Macaca mulatta: one gene and its partners. The main gene of each other region encodes a partner of the protein of the gene in region 2 in a complex. Links are inferred from orthologs where the notes say so. Each region holds a gene or a part of one and is shown on either strand. Other genes may lie near its edges.

Region 1 (6,584 bases), on a different chromosome or scaffold from region 2:
AGTCTGCTAGGCACTTAATATGCAATCAGTAAATGTTAAATCGTTTCCTCAGTGTAGTTTTATGGCCGTTATTACACTTTGTACTTTGTTTCCAAGAGGCCCAATGCTCACAGACCATATCAGATAACCATCCACATTCAAAATTGGACAATTTTATAAAATTTCCTATACCAAATCCCAGAAATGCAAACATTTTAATTTGTTTTATGTTGCTTTTTTGCTGAAGTAAAAGTAATTATTTCTGTAGAAATTTAAGACTGCATAAAAAAATTGGAAAAATAACATGGAAAATCCATTAACCTACCACTCAGAGTAACCACTAATATGTTCTTTCTAACTTAAAAAAAATCCCAGTACAGCAAATTTAAAGAATTAAAACTGTATAGAAGTATATAGGGTAAAAAGCGAAAAGCCCACTTCACTCCCCCTACCCTTCAGTTCTCTCAAAAACAAGTTTGCTTCCAGATCTTCTTTTATTTATTTACATACGTATATACATGCATGCTAATCTTTTACTATAAGTAGGATCATACTATGTATGTTCTTTCATTTAGTGTATTTTGGAGATCTTTCTGGGTCAAGGCAGATAGATTTTTTTTTAAATGGCTGCATTGCATTCCATTTTAAGGATAAGGTATAATTCATTCAGCCATTCCTCTAATGATGGCTATTTAGCTTTCCAATGTTCTGCCTTTACTAACAGTGCTGCAAGGAACATTCCTAAGTATTTCTGTTGACTAGATTCCTGGAAGGATTCTAGCAGTGTCAAAGGGTATGGGAATATGTATTTTGTACATAGTTGAGATTGTAAAGCAGCTGTGCTCTTGGGTCACTTATAATTATAGCATAAGTAATTTCTCATGTTATTAAATATTTTTGTAACTTTTAAAATTAAATGCATAATATTCCAGTTTTCTTAATAAAGTACTTTTCAAAGAATATATAGCTCCATAAATCTTTGTCTGAATTTCAGATCATCTCCTTAGGGCACATAACTGAAATGTATTTGCTGTCAAAAGGCGTGATACATATTATCAAATTGCTTTCAGGATATAGTGGGATTTATCAAAAAGGAAATAGTTTATATCAATTACCACTCCTCTAGTAGTGTATTATTAGTTTGTGAACTCTGCATAGCACTGATTTACTGTCACCGTTTAATTTCCATAATCTTGATGGGTGAAAAATAATGATTAGTTCTGGTTTTAACTTACTGGAAGATTGATTAAATTTGAACATTTCCCAGATTGCTCTCCTGTATCCTCCTATACCTGTATTCTCTCATACTTAATCTGTTATCAAGTCCCGCAGATTCCACTTTTTTTGGTATGTGTAGATATAGCTTTTCTCCATTTTACTCCTGTTGCCTTAGGCGATTCCTTTAACGTATATTTAAGAGACAAGTTCTAACTAATCTCCCTAGTTCCACCTCTGAGTACCACACTGTTGCCGGGGTGATCTGTCTGAAAGAGTTTTGGTGAAGTCACCCCACAAACTCCCCGGTTTAAAAGTCTTAAAAGGTGCTTAGTGTATATAGTGTGTATATACTTCTATACAGTTTTAATTCTTTAAATTTGCTGCACTGGGATTTTTTTAAGTTAGAATGAACATATTAGTGGTTACTCTGAGTGGTAGGTTTATGGATTTTCCATGTTATTTTTCCAGTTTTTTTATGCAGTCTTAACTAAGCACTGCATAAAAGTCTTTGGGATCTGATCTATGCCTTGCCAGCCTTTTCTCTTGCTTTTCCCTCTCCTATTTGTGCTTTATCATAATTTTAAAAAATCGTTTATGGATCCCTGGGCAGGTTAGTCTGTTTCATTTAACCATTTGACCTCCAACCAATAGAACTGATCAACTAGTCCCTCCTTGATACTATGCTTATACCCCACCCAGAGGGTCATGGCAAGTATAATGTATATTTGCATTTACATCTTTAATAATGATATTTGGTGCTCCTGTAGGATCATAAGCCCTTTCTGGGCTTATTGATTCTTGTATGCCAGAGCTGAGTATTGGACATGGCAACTAAAAAATATTTCTAAAATGAATGTGTGAATTCCCAATAATGTCTTTTTTTCATTTATCTCTGAAGCCCAAATATTTCCCTGATTTTATTGATTTGCATACATTTGTATATAAGGAGATTATATAAAGAACGTATATAACCTGTGTTTTGTTTGTGTTTTAATGTTTTAATTGTTGTTTAATCTTTTGATCTAGTGAAGTTTTTTATGTGTGTATATTCAGATATAGCTATCTTTTATTTGTTGACCTATCCCACTGATTTGTTGATGTTATTTTATTTATTTATTTATTTTTTGAGACTTAGTTTCGCTCTGGTGGCCCATGCTGGAGTGCAGTGGCGTGATCTCGGCTCACCTCCACCTCCTGGGTACATAAAAGTGGTTTTCCTGCCTCAGCCTCCCAAGTAGCTGGGATTACAGGCGCCTGCCACCACGCCCAGCCAATTTTTTGTATTTTTAGTAGAGACAGGGTTTCACCATGTTGGCCAGGCTGGTCTCTGACCTCTAGGTGGTACACCCGCCTGACCTCAGGTGGTACTACTGACCTCAGGTGGTACACCCGCCTCAGCCTCCCAAAGTGCTGGGATTACAGGCGTGAGCCACCACACCCGGCCGATTGCTATTAATTTTTAATGGTATCCAACATGTAATAGGCATTGAATAAATAACTTAAAAAATGAATGAGTTAAAAATTTGGTGAACTCTTTGTTTATACAGACATCTTACAGAAAAGCTGTCAGCATAGTTGAATTTTCTATTAATAGTTTGCTTTTTTATCTTACTATATCACGGGCATTTTTCCATGACAGTAGTCTTCTAATTTTTTTTTTCAGCTACACTAAAATTGCATTGAGCCAAACTTGCCACCAAGAGCCCAACAGTCACCATGATGCTGAGCACGGAAGGCAGGGAGGGGTTCGTGGTGAAGGTCAGGGGCCTACCCTGGTCCTGCTCAGCCGATGAAGTGATGCGCTTCTTCTCTGATTGCAAGATCCAAAATGGCACATCAGGTATTCGTTTCATCTACACCAGAGAAGGCAGACCAAGTGGTGAAGCATTTGTTGAACTTGAATCTGAAGAGGAAGTGAAATTGGCTTTGAAGAAGGACAGAGAAACCATGGGACACAGATACGTTGAAGTATTCAAGTCTAACAGTGTTGAAATGGATTGGGTGTTGAAGCATACAGGTCCGAATAGCCCTGATACTGCCAACGATGGCTTCGTCCGGCTTAGAGGACTCCCATTTGGCTGTAGCAAGGAAGAGATTGTTCAGTTCTTTTCAGGGTTGGAAATTGTGCCAAATGGGATGACACTGCCAGTGGACTTTCAGGGGCGAAGCACAGGGGAAGCCTTTGTGCAGTTTGCTTCGCAGGAGATAGCTGAGAAGGCCTTAAAGAAACACAAGGAAAGAATAGGGCACAGGTACATTGAGATCTTCAAGAGTAGCCGAGCTGAAGTTCGAACCCACTATGATCCCCCTCGAAAGCTCATGGCTATGCAGCGGCCAGGTCCCTATGATAGGCCGGGGGCTGGCAGAGGGTATAATAGCATTGGCAGAGGAGCTGGGTTTGAAAGGATGAGGCGTGGTGCCTACGGTGGAGGGTATGGAGGCTATGATGACTATGGTGGCTATAATGATGGATATGGCTTTGGGTCTGATAGATTTGGAAGAGACCTCAATTACTGTTTTTCAGGAATGTCTGATCATAGATATGGAGATGGTGGGTCCAGTTTCCAGAGCACCACAGGGCACTGTGTACACATGAGGGGGTTACCTTACAGAGCCACTGAGAATGATATTTATAATTTCTTCTCACCTCTTAATCCCATGAGAGTACATATTGAAATTGGACCCGATGGCAGAGTTACTGGTGAGGCAGATGTTGAATTTGCTACTCATGAAGATGCTGTGGCAGCTATGGCAAAAGACAAAGCTAATATGCAACATAGATATGTGGAGCTCTTCTTAAATTCTACTGCAGGAACAAGTGGGGGTGCTTACGATCACAGCTATGTAGAACTTTTTTTGAATTCTACAGCAGGGGCAAGTGGTGGGGCTTATGGTAGCCAAATGATGGGAGGGATGGGCTTATCCAACCAGTCTAGTTATGGAGGTCCTGCTAGCCAGCAGCTGAGTGGTGGTTATGGAGGTGGTTATGGTGGTCAGAGCAGTATGAGTGGATATGACCAAGTTCTGCAGGAAAATTCCAGTGACTATCAGTCAAACCTTGCTTAGGTAGAGAAGGAGCACCAAACAGCTACTCCATATATAAAAGCTGTACATTTGTGGGAGTTGAATAGAATGGGAGGGATGTCTAGTATATCCAGTATGATTGGTAAATGGGAAATATAATTGATTCTGATCACTCTTGGTCAGCTTCTCTTTCTTTATCTTTCTTTCTCCTTTTTTAAGAAAACAAGAGTTAAGTTTAACAGTTTTGCATTACAGGCTTGTGATTCATGCTTACTGTAAAGTGGAAGTTGAGATTATTTTAAAACTTCAAGCTCAGTAATTTTGAACACTGAAACATTCATCTAGGACATAATAACAAAGTTCAGTATTGACCATAACTGTTAAAACAATTTTTAGCTTTCCTCAAGTTAGTTATGTTGTAGGAGTGTACCTAAGCAGTAAGCGTATTTAGGTTAATGCAGTTTCACTTATGTTAAATGTTGCTCTTATACCACAAATACATTGAAAACTTCGGATGCATGTTGAGAAACATGCTTTTCTGTAAAACTCAAATATAGGAGCTGTGTCTACGATTCAAAGTGAAAACATTTGGCATGTTTGTTAATTCTAGCTTTTTGGTTTAATATCCTGTAAGGCACGTGAGTGTACACTTTTTTTTTTTTTTTTTTTTTTTTTTTGAAGGATACGGGACAATTTTAAGATGTAATACCAATACTTTAGAAGTTTGGTCGTGTTGTTTGTATGAAATTCTGAGGCTTTGGTTTAAATCTTTCCTTGTATTGTGATTTCCATTTAGATGTATTGTACTAAGTGAAACTTGTTAAATAAATCTTCCTTTTAAAAACTGGAAAAAATCTTGTGCTGATTGATTTTTATTATGTTCTGTCATATGGGCACGCTGATTGACTTTATAATTCCCTCAAAATTAAAATTTTTAATTTTAAAATTATAAACAATATATTTAGCATCTTTATATGTTCATTGTTGCATATATCATTAATTATTTCTAAGATATATCCCTAGAAATGGGATTGCTGAGTCAAAGATACACTCATTTTTAAGGCTTCTGATTTGTGTTACCAGCAAGATTCTGGTACTTTATCTTTTTACCTGGAGTGTGTGCTTTATTTTCCCCCTTATGCCCTCCTTATTGATGCACATTATTCTTTGTGATCTTTGCCAGTCTGTTAGTTGAGAAATGATATCTCATTGCAATTTTAATTTGTATTTTTTTGATTAATATTAAAGTTGAACATTTTCTTCTTTTTTAAAAAAACTTACCATGTCTACAGGACTATTGAGCTACTTTTGGAGCCACTTACCAAGATAGTATTCTCTAAAATCCAAAGAAGTGAAAGCGAATAAATAATCCTTTGTATTTCATCACAAACTAGAAGGCACCTTTGTATGTTAAAAAAGAAGTAGGCTTACAATTATGTGTCAAAAACAAAACATAAAAAAGAAGCAGGCTTATGTTAAGGAAATAAATTGTCTCCTCCATGAATTCATTAGGAGATTCTCTAAACACTCTCAGGTGTATTTTAGGGCATCTAAAGCTTATCTTAAACCAGCGTTCTCAAACTTTTCATGTGCATCAGAATCATCTGCAGGGGTTGTTTAAACATTCATTTCTAGGCCCCATCCCTAGAGTTTACAGTTCAGTAGTTTTGGGATGTTGCTTGAGAATGTGCTGATACTGCTGGTCTCAAGACCATGTTTTGAGACCCATCACAGTTCCCCAAACAACTTTAAGGAGCAGCTTCCTTTATGATCCCTGATCGCCTCCCCTTTGTTCCCATAACAAGTAGTTTAAGTTTTCTATTAAAGTCCAAACCACATGTTTACAATACCTTGCACCTCTCATGAGGATTCTGAGCACCTGTGGCATTGTGTGCTGATGTCTTAGATTTTTGTCTGGATCACAGTGGTCATTAACAATTCCACCCCTCAATGACTTTAAGACCCCAATGTCCCTCTGATCAGTACCAACTGTATCTTGAACTACAGATCTCTTTGTAGTTTCACTGACCCCTTGGGAACTGTATTGCTATACTTGGGCTGTTCAGAGCTTGGGACCCAGAGAAATGAGATGGGAGGCAAATACCAAGTTGGTATTACCTGACTCCATTTCATTCAGGAAATGAAAATCAATTCTGGAAAATCATTCAAGCTGAAGATGCAGTGGGACGTGATTGAAATTCTTTGATGACTTCTAATTTTTATCACAGCTTTCAGGAGAGCAAGAAACCCATTTTGACTCCTATCATGTTGAGCCAGTCCTTGTCCAGGAAGCCTTTCTCAGAGGGTAAACAAGTAGGTGTTTTTGCCTTCCCAGGCTACTTAGTTAATTTTCCAGAAGTTTC
Region 2 (6,455 bases):
CCCTTTTGCCGATGGTGCCCTGGACCGGCATTTCCTGCTGCGTGGTGGTGGCCCGGCGGCCACACTCTCTCGAGCCTACCTCAGCAGCGGGGCTGGCTTTCCCGAAGGCCCCGAGCTCCGGGACAGTTCCAGCTATGGCAGCCTGTCCCGAGGGCTGGGTGTGCGGCCCCCACGTGCTGGCCCCCTTGGCCCAGGCCCTGGTGATGGCTGCTTCACACTGCCTGGCCACCGGGAGGCCTTCTCAGTGGGTCCTGAGCCTGGGCCACCAGGTGGCCGCTCCCTGCCCGAGCGCTTCCAGGCAGAGCCGTATGGCTTGGAGGATGACACGCGCAGCCTGGCCGCTGATGACGAGGGTGGCCCTGAGCTGGAGCCTGACTATGGCACGGCCACGAGGAGGAGGCCTGAGTGTGGGCGGGGCCTTCACACCAGGTGAGCTGCACCCCGTTCCCTGTGGCTACCTCCTCTGGGAAGTCCACCCTCCACCCAACTACAGAGTGCCCCACTTGTCAAGTGGCTGCAGTTGAGTTAGTCATGTACGTTAGTTTGAATTGGCCTTGGCTCTTGTCAGGGAGAGAAGAAAGGTGGACCCTGGGGTGGTAGGAGTTCGGCTGGACACCATCCTGCAGGCCCAGGGCCTAGGAAAAGCTGGGAAGAGTGCCGACCACCGGCCTTGCTCATCCACACTCTGGGTAACCAGAACCCAGAGCCCTGGCCCTTGTCACAGCCCATGATTCTGTCCCCATTGCCCTCAGTTTCTGCATCTCTGGAGTGGGGACGTGACCACAGCCCGGGTCTGGATTCTGTTGTGTGACCCTGGCCAAGTCACCTGACCACTCCTAGCCTCAGGGCAGTGGGTTTGATGACAGCAACCCACAGGGCTACTGAGAGTTAAGGAGATCTTGTGCCCCAAGGGCCTGGTGGCCTGAACACCCCTCGGGTGGTCCTACTGGGATGGCTTCATGTGGAGAGAGCCATCTACCCCCTCTCCATCCTGACACAGCCAGAGATGGGCCTCATGGAAGATGGGGTGGTTTCGTGGAAGGGAGGTGGGTCTCTCCAGCAGCCCTAGCACATATCGCACAGAAACATGTTTTGCTTGGGATCGGGGAACACTGCCTGGTGACAGCAGTGAGTGAGCTTGCTGTCCTGGGAGGGTTGCCTGGGTCCTGATAGCCTCTGGCTGGGGTTTGGCATTTGGCTATGAATTGGTTCTCACTGGGCTGGTGCATGACTCTCTGTGTCCCCACCATGCTTCGGGCGGAGATGCAGGTGCTCTCAGCCCAGCCCTGCTGGGTGAGTTTGCAGTCCTGAAGAACGTGTCATGGGGCAGCTCAGAGGTGGGGCTGGCGGCTGCTGTGACGATGTCCACGCACCCCACTTGCCTGTGCAGGGCCTACGAGGACGCGGCAGTTGATGGCGGCGAGCTGACAGATGAACGGCCTGCGTTCCCAGCGGTGACGGCGCCCCTGGCCCAGCCTGAACGGGGCAGCCTGGGCAGCCTGGACCGGCTGGTGCGGCGCTCGCCCTCAGTGGATAGCGCCCGCAAGGAGCCGCGCTGGCGGGACCCTGAGCTGCCTGAGGTGCTGGCCATGCTGCGGCACCCCGTGGACCCCGTGAAGGCCAATGCGGCCGCCTACCTGCAACATCTGTGCTTTGAGAACGAGGGTGTCAAGCGGCGTGTACGGCAGCTGCGGGGGCTGCCACTGCTTGTGGCGCTGCTGGACCACCCGCGGGCTGAGGTGCGGCGCCGGGCCTGTGGGGCACTGCGCAACCTCTCCTATGGCCGTGACACTGACAACAAGGCCGCCATCCGGGACTGTGGTGGTGTGCCTGCCCTGGTGCGCCTGCTGCGGGCCGCCCGGGACAACGAGGTCCGCGAGCTTGTCACTGGTGAGTGGGACCTGGCCATGCCCACATCCCCTGGGAAGAGAAGAGTGCGAGGCTCAGCACGGGAGGAACGAGGCCACACGGCCTGCGACCGCCTGGGAGAGTGCCCGGTGGGCAGGAGTGCAGCCACTGAGACGCTTGCCCCAGGAGCCAGTCATCAGGCCCAGATGCTGTGACAGGCTCCCCAGTCTCTACCATAGGCAGGAGGCAGACAGTGGGCCCCTCAGGCATGTCCCCTCACCTCCTGCCCCCACAGAAACTCCCCTGGGACCTGCCTCCTTGGTTCCCACCCCAACAGTGCAGTGGTGGGGCTTGTGCCTTGTGGGACCTGAGGGACAGGTAGGGTCACCTGACCGTGTCTCTGTGAGGCCCTGTGGCCTCAGGAGTGTTAGTGCCACCTGCCGTGTGGCAGGGAATGGGTGGGACGGGACAGTACTGCCACACCCTTCTCTGCACCTCCTCCCCTTTGGGGTTCCTTCCTAGCTGGAAACCAGTACTGGTGTCCCTCAGAACCACTCACGGCTTTTGTTACTTCCTACTGTTCTGTGTGAGCTGGGACATGAGGAGAGTGGGACAGGTCCTGGGCGTGGCCACCTGGGGAGGTAGGCGGGCGGTGCATATGGTCAGCACGGGTTGGCCAATCGCACCCCACAGGCACACTGTGGAACCTGTCGTCATATGAGCCCCTGAAGATGGTCATCATTGACCATGGCCTGCAGACACTGACCCATGAGGTGATCGTGCCCCACTCAGGATGGGAGCGTGAGCCCAACGAGGACTCCAAGCCACGGGATGCTGAGTGGACAACTGTCTTCAAGAATACGTCGGGCTGCCTGAGGTGTGGACCAGGCCTGGTGCTAAAGCCTCAAGCACACCAGGCCCTGTCCTTGTGGTCCCAGATAGTGTGGAAGATGGCAGCAAGCTTAGGAGCACCAGAGCCTGGGAGCTTCAGAGCTGTGGCACAAGTCCTGTGGATGAGAAGTGGGGCCTGATGGGGCTGTACTCACCCCCAAGTGGTGCCCTAGTCTTCCCAGGGGCACCCTCTGGAGGGGTCTGTGTGGTACCATAGCCCTGCTTAGCTCTCACCTACCTTCCCATCACTTGACAGCCAGAGGGGAGCTGGGACCTCCCTGTTCATCTGCCTGGGAGGCTCATACCAGCCACCTGTGACCTCTGCCCTTCCCCTCCTACCCCTGGGAAGCCCTGCTGACTCCACAGAGTCCTGGGTCCCCACAGTCTTGCTTGTCCATCAGGGTGTTCCCCCGCAGCCCTGCAGGCTCTTGACCTTGGGGTAAGGTGGGGCCTAGAGCTGCCATTGGGGTGGCGAGGGACCCAGAATTGCCTATGCATAGGTTCAGGTCTCTCTGAGTCTACCTGTCCCTTTCTAGGTCAGCTGGGAGGCAGGAAAGCCCTGTCTTCCCCTGCCCAGCTATCCCCAGCCAAGACAGCTGTCTGCCAGGGCTCCCCTCCTGAGGCCGGGGGCAGTTCGCTTCTCCCACTTCGCTGAGCTCCAGGCTGTGGCGTCCTTTCCCAATAGTGCTAGGAGGGCAGCAGCAAGGGCCTGTTTTGCAGATGAAGACAAGCCCATGAGGCCAGAGTGGGGCTGGGGAGTTTGTGATAGCCAGGGGTCACCTGACCTGCTCTTGGCCACACAGGAATGTGAGCTCTGATGGTGCTGAGGCCCGGCGGCGACTCCGGGAGTGTGAAGGGCTGGTGGACGCGCTCCTGCATGCCCTGCAGTCGGCAGTGGGCCGGAAGGACACGGACAACAAGGTGGGCAGGGACGGTCACAGCCTCATACCAAGGGCTGGAGAGACGATCATGCAGGTCCCGGGAGGCTGGAACTGTGGGAACAGCACAGGGGAATGGGTTTGTGGGTCTGGGGCGGCGTTCTGGGCATGGCCTGCCTCACAGTGACCACACTGAAGTAGGCACTGTCCTGCAGGCAGAAGATGCTCCATGAGGCAGGGGCTTCCTCCCATGGACCCTCCCTGGTGGTTACCGCCCTTTTGTCCCCCCGACTGAGGCCTCCCTGTCCCTTTGCTCCTGGTGCCTTCATGCACACCACCTGTGGCCAGTCTTTCCTGAGGGCTGGCCCTGTGCCTAGGGTGCCCTGCCCCAGCCACTCACCTCTCCCTGCAGTCGGTGGAGAACTGCGTGTGCATCATGCGGAACCTGTCCTACCACGTGCACAAGGAGGTGCCCGGGGCCGATAGGTACCAGGAGGCCGAGCCCGGGCCCCTGGGCAGTGCTGTAGTCTCCCAGCGCCGGAGGCGGGATGATGCCAGCTGCTTTGGTGGCAAGAAGGCCAAAGGTGGGTGGGGCGGACCGGGGTACCATCTCAACTCCTGCCCCAGCTGAAGGCTCTCTGTACACCCACAGCAGCCCATCATGGAGGCCAGAGGACATCTGCACAGCCCCCAACAGGCAGGCAGGGAAGCTGGGAGCCAAGGAGGCTGGGCTGCCCTGGGTCACATGGTTGACGGGGCCCAGGGTTGGGGGCCCAGGTCCAACCTTCCCCATCTACACTGTGGGACCTGCAGGGAGTACACAAGGGAAGCCTGGTGGTCCTACTGATGCCCAGACCCAGTCTCTATTCCGGGGAGAGTTCCACTCGCCCATGAGTTGAGAAAGAGCCATGGCTATTGCTGCCTGCTGACTGTTTACAGAATAGCTGTAGACTGCGTCCAACCTGTGGGGCAGTCACCCATCTGCCTGGGCAAGATGCCCTGCACACCTTCTCTACCGCACTAGCGGGGTGTAGGTTCCCGGGACCTCCCCAGCAGCTGTGGGCGACCTGTGCACCACCTGCCCCTGCCCCACTGACCCTAGGCCTCCTCCTCGTCCCACTGGTGGGTGCTCAGCACCCAGAAGTGATGGGATGAGGTTCCACATGCTGCTTGCTTGATCCAGGCTGTGCAGTGGGAACCTGAGGCCTCTGGGAGGGCATTGGGGGGGGGTGATGAGTGCTGCCTGCTCAGGCTCCTCTCCTCTCTCCTCTGCTTCCTCCGGCTGCCCAGAGGAGTGGTTCCACCAAGGTGAGTCCCTTTTTATCCTGCTCTCCAGGCCTGGCATGTGCAGTGGGCACCTGGGAAGAGGCAAGCACATTCCAGCCCCAGGGCCCTGCCCCACCCTTGGCTTCATCACTCGGGCTGCCATCTTTATGACAGTGGCAGGTGGGAAGGCCAAGGGGCTCATTTTATAACCTCAGACTTGCCTACCTGGGCAGAGCCGGGCAGAGCCAAGAGTGGGCAGGGCCCGGGGATACTTGTCTCTAGGGGCACCAGGGAGCAGTCTGTTTCTCTGATAGAATGGGGCAGCATGTGGCTCAAAGGGATACAAGGGTCCCGTGAGGGTGAGCAGGGCAGGGACCTCAGGTCATCTGGCTCCACTCTGCTGCCTTGTGAGGGGGTAGAAGTGTCATCTGAGATGGGAGTGTGGCTGAGAGACAGTGGGCTCACTGTCACAAAGGTGTGCAAACCAGGGCTGCACAAATGTTAGGTGGGCTGCTGTGGGGTTTCTCCTGGCTAGTAGATCCTGGGACAATGTCCTGACCCCAGACTGGGGGAGTTTCCCCCTAGTTCTGCCTTACTGTGTGACCCAAGCGAGTCTTGTCCCGGTCAGCCTTCAGTTTCTCGGCTTGTATCCACCTGCCATCCAGCCAGGGCTCCTGGCTTCGTCGGTCTACATACCTGGCAGTTGCAAGGAAGCCACCGGGAGGGTCTGTGGTACAGCTTCCAGCACCTGGTGGGAGATGAGTCCTGGGATGTCCCCAGGCCCCATTGCCACCAACTCCTACCCCTAAACTGCCCAAACTCTGACAGTGGTGCTGCATTCTCACAGGTGCCCAGGCCTGGACATGGGGGTGCCTTTTGGGGCCTGGGTAGGAGAGAACTGTGCCCAACCCTTCTGACACACCCATGCCCCATATGGGGTCTGCGTCACCTCCTACACCACCTTTCCCTTCCAGGAAAGAAGGATGGTGAGATGGACCGGAACTTTGACACGCTAGACCTGCCCAAGCGAACTGAGGCTGCTAAAGGTGAGTGGGCTGAGATGAAGCCAGCTCCGCTGGGGGATGTCTGGGCTCAGGATTGCCCTGGTAGTGGAGCTTTGGGCCATCAAGCAGGCCTGGAGGGCCTCAGGGAACAGATGGGGAAACAGGCCCATAGGTGCAGGATTTCCTGGAGGATTATTCAGCACTGGGACACCTGCTGAGGGTTTAGAATGGGAGGCAGTGCCATGGGTCATGTCAGGCAAGGTTGGGGGAGGAGACAGGCACAGAGAGGCCAGGGGCTTGCTCAGCCTCACGGTGCGTAAGAGGTGGGAAGGTTTGGAGGGACGCCCCCAGTGGAGGTAGGGCCTCCTGTGTTAGCCACAAAGCTGAGTTCACCTCGGGGCTGGGAGCCAGGCGGGCATTCTCACATCCAGGTTCAGAGGCTAGGCCAGACGAACACCTGCAGGGGCAGGGCAGTGCCTATTGGGTTGTGTGCTGGGATCTGGCCTGAGAGAGAGGTCTGCCCTGGTGGGGCCTAACCAGTTGGAAGAGCCTGCATGTCACCAGAGTG
Region 3 (7,175 bases), on a different chromosome or scaffold from region 2:
TTAATCTTGTACACACTTTCCCTTTCAAAAAAGAAATGTGACTTGTGTTAAAAGTTCTACAGGCCGAGCATGGTGGCTCACACCTGTAATCCTAACACTTTGGGAGGCCAAGGCAGGCAGATCACTTGAGGCCAGGAGTTTTGGGACCAGCCTGGGTAACACAAAGAAACTGCACCTCTACTAAAAATACAAAATTAGCCAGGCAAGTGTGGCACACACTTGTAATCCCAGCTACTCGGGAGACTGAGGCACGAGAATCACTCGAATCCAGGAGGTGGAGGTTGCAGTAAGCCCAGATTACACCACTGCACTCCAGTCTGGGGAATAAAGCGAGACTCTGTCTCAAAAACAAAAAACAGTTCTAATACCTCTGTGCTGATGTTAACATTTAATACTTACCTTTTTTTGAGATGGGTTTCATTGAAAATATCAAAAGCTATCTCCAAGTGAACATTAATTTACTAGCCATCAACCAACTTTGCACAAAAGCCTATGTTGTCTATGACCACCAGAAAATAAGCAGCATCTACAGTTTTTTAACCAATTTATAACAAAGTAGAGAAGCTTATCTTTCAGATGCTAGATCCAACCCCCCACCGTCATTTACCAAGTTACATACACAAATGCCTTATTCTCCCCTTTTGCCTTCCCCTGAAGACTTTTACAATTAACAATAAAAGATGGCTAATACCATTATAGTGCCTTTTAAGAACTTTTAATTTGCTAACACATTAATACAAGAGTCAAAATCTTATCTTACTTAACAATTTAAAGATTAACTGATAGACCCAGTTAGAATCTTACATGAAGAGGAAAAAGGACAACCATGCATAGTTTTTTAAAAAATGTTTATTTTTTCAAAGAAAAACGGCAATAGCCAATTGGAAACCTACTTATTCTTCAACTCCAATTTTGTTTTCTTTAAATTTAGAAGTGACTTACTGATTTACTATTTTAAACAAACCCCCCCTTTCCCCTTTAAATGTTTACCATCTACTCGTGCTGAATCCTTCCAAGGAGATTGCTCCAGCGTTTATCTCCAGGTCCTCGCTTTGCTCCTTTTACCAAAAAACGCAAAACACAATTCCATCGTGCATCTTAAGGGCTCCAATCGTCAAAAATAGGAAAAAAAAAAATCTTTGGAATAGCCAATTAAGTTGAATAAAAAAATCCACACGAATGCGGTTTGGTTGGGGCAGGAATCCACTCCTATGTTCCTGGTAATCTGATCCCGCTCCATGAATCCTGGTAATTCATCCTCCCTATCCTATCCACATTATGATTTGAATCCAATGATCCAGCTCCAAGGATTGGGATCCAGTGAGCCCTCTCCAATCCAAACCTTTATAACCAGCAAAACCAAAAAAGAGGAGGCAAAATGTTAGATACTGTAATCAAAAAAGGTTTCTGGGGAATGATGAGTTATGTCTGTCATCAGTTTAACAGATGCACATCAATAACTATCAAATTCCCCAAAACAAGTTTCTGAATGGTGTTCAGATAAATTTTAGAAACTTAATCATCATAGAGACTAATTGGAAGAAGCATTTTGTATTTACAGTTCAACTGATAATGCCAACACTTGTTACTGTACAGCGTATTACAGGTTTCGTGGTTGCAAGAAGTTACGTAATTTAAGTTTACTGGCATTGCTACCCACCTAAGTCTAAAACTATATCTAATGCTCCCATTTGCAATTTAATTTGTAAATTAAAGTCTTTTAAACATATGAATCAATTATGAATATTAGTTTAAAGGGGAAGGTGAGACTTAAAAGTATTCCCAACTAGATTATCTACACCAATACATTGGAACTCTATATTTTGCTTTCATTTTGTCTTAAAAAAATGAAATAGCAACGCTCTATCAGTCACACAGAGGACATGCAGATTTAGCAGTATTGATATTATACTCTATCTTGTTGGATTTAAAGACACCCTGTACCCACATGTACACCAACAGCAGGTCACACATTAACAGTTGTAACTAAGCACTGTGACAAATTAGCCAGTTCTTCCCACATTAGTCCCTATTAAAACAAAAATGGGGGGAAGGGAGCAAAATAAGTTGCTACAAAATGGGCAATATAATTTTGCCACAATTGCCAAGGTTTAAAGAGCAAAGCAATTGTAGCTAAAGATAACTGAATAAAATGTTTGCAAGTGTTTTAAGGAAAACGTATATAATCATTTTTAACCCCTGCCTTTTAGTATAAGGTCAATACTGCCAATTTCATCTGTGACAATAGCACTTGGAGTCATACCATTGCCTCCATTATTGATCTGATCCTCCTCAATCCTCCTTTTGACAATCCTAAAATGATTGAAATGTGCTCCACAATCCTTAATCCAAAGCATTCTTAATCCATCTCTTCAGATATGTCTACAGAAAGACACATGAAAAGCAAGATAAACATAAGAACTTCCCCAGGTAAGATAACCACAAACACCCCCAACATCCCAGTTCACACAAACCAGGGCAGAATAGACATTTACACAATATCACAGTCTGAAGAGTATGGAGTTAACTAAATTTAAACAATCCTGTCTATGACATCACTTAAAATACAATTTATCGAAGACACGAGGGGAATGTAGATGTTAGGAGCAAGGGGATATTACAAGAATGCAATTCAACACTTTAGCCCATTCTGAACAAAACAGTTTGAATTAAAAAATGAAAAGATTGTACTGAATAAAGGAAAACTGTATACAACATGGGTTCTACAAAAAGTGTCACCAATCATCTTATGTACGAGAGCGAGATCTGCTATGACGGGGAGAATAGCGTGGTGATCCTCTGCTTCTCCTTGGGGAGTAACTGCGACTCCTGCTGTTGCTTCTGCTACGGCTTCTGCTACGACTACGGCTTCGAGATCGAGATCTTCCATAACTTGGACTTCTGGGCCCATCAACTTTAACCCGGATGTAGGCAGTTTCTCCCTATTGGATAGACAGAACTTTCCATTGAAAGATCTAAGCTTTCATCTATCTTCAGGCATGCTGAATGCATACAATGCAACTACAACCAGAAATCTGGCAATTTACTTGGACACCCTTGCCTGAATTCTTACCTTCAAATTCCACTGTTAAGACCACTGTATCCAATTCTGGTCAAAGAAAAGAATAAGCGTATAACCTACCTCATGAGATCTAAACTTAGTGTTATCCAGTTTTCGAACTGCATAGGTCATATCTTCTTTCCGTACAAACTCCACGACACCAGTGCCATCTCGGTAAACATCAGCATAACATACATCACCTGCTTCACGCATGTGATCCTTTAAATCCTGCCAACTTCCACTTGGAGGCAGTCCTGAAAAAGTGATTTTTTTTCTTAGTATCAATTATCTTAAATTTCACGTTAAGCTGGTAAGGTACATTAGAACAAAGAGTACTTTAAAATACTTAATAGGTGTACTTAAGTGATACCAGGTAAAGAGCTGGTAAGATTCTGGGATCCAGAGTCCAAAATTATTTGTAACGGATCTTCGTATCTAGTACCGCAACCTAATTTGGTAAATCACCACAGCAGCAATCCTCGTTTATTAAATTCACCCAAAAACTAAAGCAATTTAAGACCTAGCATGAAAAATTTGCAATTGTTAAACCGATCATGCAAGACAAAAATTTTAGGTAGCTTCCGTCCCTTCACATCAATCCACACAACCAAGTACACTCACCAGAGACAACCACTCTGTTTTCAGACCGCCTGGATGGGGGGCCATAGCGACCTCGGGGAGCTCCGCCACCTCCACCCCCGCCGCCGCCTCGGCCTGTTCCACGGCCGCTTCGAGGAAACTCCACCCGCAGACGGTACCCATCGTAATCATAGCCGTCGCGACCATACACCGCGTCTTCCGCGTCTCTGCGGGATCGCAGAAAGTAAAAGGCATGAGAAAGACCAGGAGGAGAAGCTCGCTCAGTCGGGAACCCCCCGCACATGCGCACCCAACGTGGAAGAGCCCACATGCGCCGCATAATAGGAATGGCCCCTCCCCCACCCAGAAACACGCCAGGCTCCCAACCACTACACCAGCCCTCAGCGCCTCAGTTTCCCGCTCCAGCCTGCGAATGGGCTCCGGGGACGTCCAAGGCGAGGCGCCAGAGAAGCCACACCAACTCAGCTCCTTACTCGACTCCTGCATGGGCGATACAGTCTCGCCCCAACCTCTCTAAGAGCCCCCGCTTCCCCGTTCTCTATGTTAAGGCCTTGGAGCCTTCCCCGACTACTCGGACCTATTTCCTCAAGGCTGCAAGCCCCATGCCGCCTCACCGCGGGTCCTCGAACTCAACGAAGGCGAAGGGCGGTCCCCCGCGGCGATTCTTGAGGTCGATGTCGCGGATAGCGCCGTATTTGTAGAACACGTCCTCAATGTCCTTGGTTCGGATGTCTGGAGGTAAGTTACCCACGTAGATGCGGCAATCGTTGTTCCCTGCGGGGCCACGAATCACACCACCTCCCGACATGGCGGTGACGAAAAGCGCGGACTCGAGAACAGGCCTTCCCACCAAGCCTAGCGCACCGCAGAGCGAGCCCGCAGCGGCACCACGTCTCCCGCGGCCCCTCCAAAATGGCGCCTTTATCAGCTCGGCGCACGGATATGGGGGGGAGACAGAGGAAGAGAAGCGGAAGGAAACAGCGATTCGATCCCAACACGCACGCGCGGGAGCGCAACGGGTGCTGCGAGGGATACGCGCAACGCACGCGCACGCACGCGCGACGTCACCCTCCGCACGAAGGGGGAAAAAAAGTCCCCCGCGTTCCCCGCTTGGGGTGGTTTGCGAATAGAGTGAGCAGCCGTTTGGTAAAAGTTAAATAAAGAACTCTCGTTAAAGGAGCTAGTCATCCAGGTCGAGTCTTGAAGGATAGTCAATTTCCCCAGGAATGAGGAGCTTTGAAAGCAACTCGGCGCCTTCAAAGGACTTGGTGAAACCTAGCCTAAAGCCTTGTCCCACCATGCTCTGCGGCGATAACGGCCTTTGGCGGGAAAGAGACTCGGAGGCGGGGCTAAAGGGGGAGGGCTCGGGCCGTTGCTCCGGAAACCCGGGTATCTTCGTAGAGTGCGTCTAGTCCAGAGCTGAGTTGCCGGTGACTGAATAGAGAGCTGGGGCGTTGGTTTGTCTTCCCGCCCCTGCTGCGAACAAGCTGTGGCTGCTTAGACAGATGTGTCTAATTTAGCGAAACCGGTTTAGATTCCTTAATCCTTTTCATTAAGAACCATTCCACCTTCTCGTCAGAACTTTGCATAGCTCAGTTCAGCACTCTTTGTGCTAGTCGCAGTGGGCCCGTACCCCGACCTTTCAACGTGGTACCCGCCAACCAGAAGGGGTAACAGTACTGCTTCTGGTACCCACACCTCTTTATCTCTTGTTAATCGCCTATCCGTGGGACTAGCGCAGATTGCCTGCAGAATGAATTGTTTCTGTTGTTTCCTTTTAAAGAACGAGAAGGAAGAAAAGGTGCGTGTGTGCAGTCCTTTTTTCAAAAGTTTCCTCTAAAAGTTACTGAAATTGAAAATACCGGTCCTCCCAGGTAATAAAATGGACCGAAATGGATGAGAGCCGTGTCCACTAGAGACCGCGGTTGCTATTCAGGACTGTGATCTTATTTGCCTGCGACATTGGGAGATAACATTTTACATTTTTTTTCGACGTCTGCAATCTGGATTTTTATGTGAAATCCTGGGATTTTTAAACGTCGCTAATGAATTCAAATTAAAATTAGGCTGGGCGCGGTGGCTCACGCCAGCACTTTGGGAGGTAGAGGCGGCAGATCACTTGAGGTCAGGAGTTCGAGACCAGCCTGGCCAACATGGTGAAATCCCGTCTCTACTGAAAAAAAAAAAATTAGCCGGGCTTGGTGGCGGGCGCCTGTAATCCAGCCTACTCGGGAGGCTGAGGCAGGAGAATCGCTAGAACCCTGGAGGTGGAGGTTGCAGTGAGCCGAGATCGCGCCATTGCGCTGCAGCCTGGGCTACAGAGTAAGACTCCTCCTAAAAAAAAAAAAAAAAAAAAAAAAAAAAAAAGGAGGGGGAAACAACAACAAAATCAAATCCTGCAGTCATAAATTTGCGATAACAGATCTACACCGTGAATTTCAGGGATAATGTTCTTCATGTTATTTACAGCAGTCCCTCTCCGCAAGGATGTGAGGCAATTTACAGAGATACCATAAAACATTATTAAAAGTAGATGAGGCTGGGCGTGGTGGCTCACTCCTGTAATCTCAGCACTTTGGGAGGCCGAGGCGGGCGGATCACCTGAGGTAAGGAGTTTGAGACCAACATGTCGAAACCCGTCTCTTCTAAAAATACAAAACATTAGCCGGGCATGGTGGCCCATGCCTGTAATCCCAGCTACTCGGAAGGGTGAGACAGGACAATCTCTTGAACCCTTAGGAGGTGGAGGCTGTAGTGAGCGGAGATCATGCCACTGCACTCCAGCCTGGGCGACAGAACAAGACTCCATCTCACACACACACAAAAAAAAACTAGAGGAATGGGAAAATAAGGGGTGGATTAAATGAAATAAGCATAAATTACTATACAAAATGCCTGCAGTGAAAGCCTGTTGAATTTGTTGAGATAGACTGCAAATTTTACTTTAGTCTTCGCAGAAGTCGCGGTAAAGAAGGGTACACCAGTATTGTGTATTCAAAATCCAAAGTGCCTTTGGGATAAAAATAAATAGGTCATTCAGGAGAAGGACATGTTTTCTTAATTCTAAAAGCTGATGAAATGTATTTTACAAATGTCTCTCGGTGACCCCAAAATACATACTCAATTTGAAATGAGCAGGGATGCTTGGTCTTGTGCCTGAAGATCCTCAGTATATCCACAGATGACCTTTGGTAATCCTTGAGCTTTCTGTAATGTTTTCCAAAATTATATGCATGTATGCATGTACAAAATTATATGCATGTGCGTACTTTTTTCTGGGAAGAGGATTTGAAATTTTAATCAACTTCTTAAAGGAGTCCATAGATCCCAAAAGGGAAAAGAACTTCTGAAAATTGTCAAGGGAGGGATAGATTGCCTATCCTTCAGACCATCCTTCAAGTATATATATAGGGGTGTGTGTGTGTGTGTGTGTGTGTGTGTGTGTGTGTGTGTATATATATATATTTTTTTTTTTTTTGAGACAGAGTTGCCCTCTGTCACCCAGGCTGGAGTG

The links.
Region 1: ARVCF (region 2) and HNRNPH2 share a complex: the UniProt entries of both Homo sapiens proteins name them as parts of the ribonucleoprotein complex. The link is inferred for Macaca mulatta from reciprocal best matches to the Homo sapiens genes ARVCF and HNRNPH2.
Region 3: ARVCF (region 2) and SRSF1 share a complex: the UniProt entries of both Homo sapiens proteins name them as parts of the ribonucleoprotein complex. The link is inferred for Macaca mulatta from reciprocal best matches to the Homo sapiens genes ARVCF and SRSF1.

What each region holds. Positions count from the first base shown.
Region 1 is NC_133426.1:108,300,392-108,306,975, forward strand, and holds the end of HNRNPH2 (heterogeneous nuclear ribonucleoprotein H2), read left to right. Parts: intron 1-2,839; exon of another isoform or gene 2,840-2,860; 5' UTR 2,861-2,913; coding exon 2,914-4,263; 3' UTR 4,264-5,080; downstream 5,081-6,584. UniProt on the Homo sapiens protein: This protein is a component of the heterogeneous nuclear ribonucleoprotein (hnRNP) complexes which provide the substrate for the processing events that pre-mRNAs undergo before becoming functional, translatable mRNAs in the cytoplasm. Binds poly(RG).
Region 2 is NC_133415.1:32,713,924-32,720,378, forward strand, and holds part of ARVCF (splicing regulator ARVCF), read left to right. Parts: coding exon 1-429; intron 430-1,269; coding exon of another isoform or gene 1,270-1,390; coding exon 1,391-1,890; intron 1,891-2,541; coding exon 2,542-2,725; intron 2,726-3,542; coding exon 3,543-3,660; intron 3,661-4,029; coding exon 4,030-4,201; intron 4,202-4,907; coding exon 4,908-4,925; intron 4,926-5,857; coding exon 5,858-5,929; intron 5,930-6,455. UniProt on the Homo sapiens protein: Contributes to the regulation of alternative splicing of pre-mRNAs.
Region 3 is NC_133421.1:51,981,058-51,988,232, reverse strand, and holds the start of SRSF1 (serine/arginine-rich splicing factor 1), read right to left. Parts: upstream 4,673-7,175; 5' UTR 4,470-4,672; coding exon 4,276-4,469; intron 3,868-4,275; coding exon 3,683-3,867; intron 3,316-3,682; coding exon 3,143-3,315; intron 2,960-3,142; exon of another isoform or gene 2,943-2,959; coding exon 2,748-2,942; 3' UTR 2,383-2,747; coding exon of another isoform or gene 2,344-2,382; 3' UTR 1,241-2,343; coding exon of another isoform or gene 1,178-1,240; 3' UTR 1,059-1,177; coding exon of another isoform or gene 991-1,058; 3' UTR 1-990. Other genes in the region: uncharacterized protein LOC144335563, read right to left, coding at 991-1,058, 1,178-1,240. UniProt on the Homo sapiens protein: Plays a role in preventing exon skipping, ensuring the accuracy of splicing and regulating alternative splicing.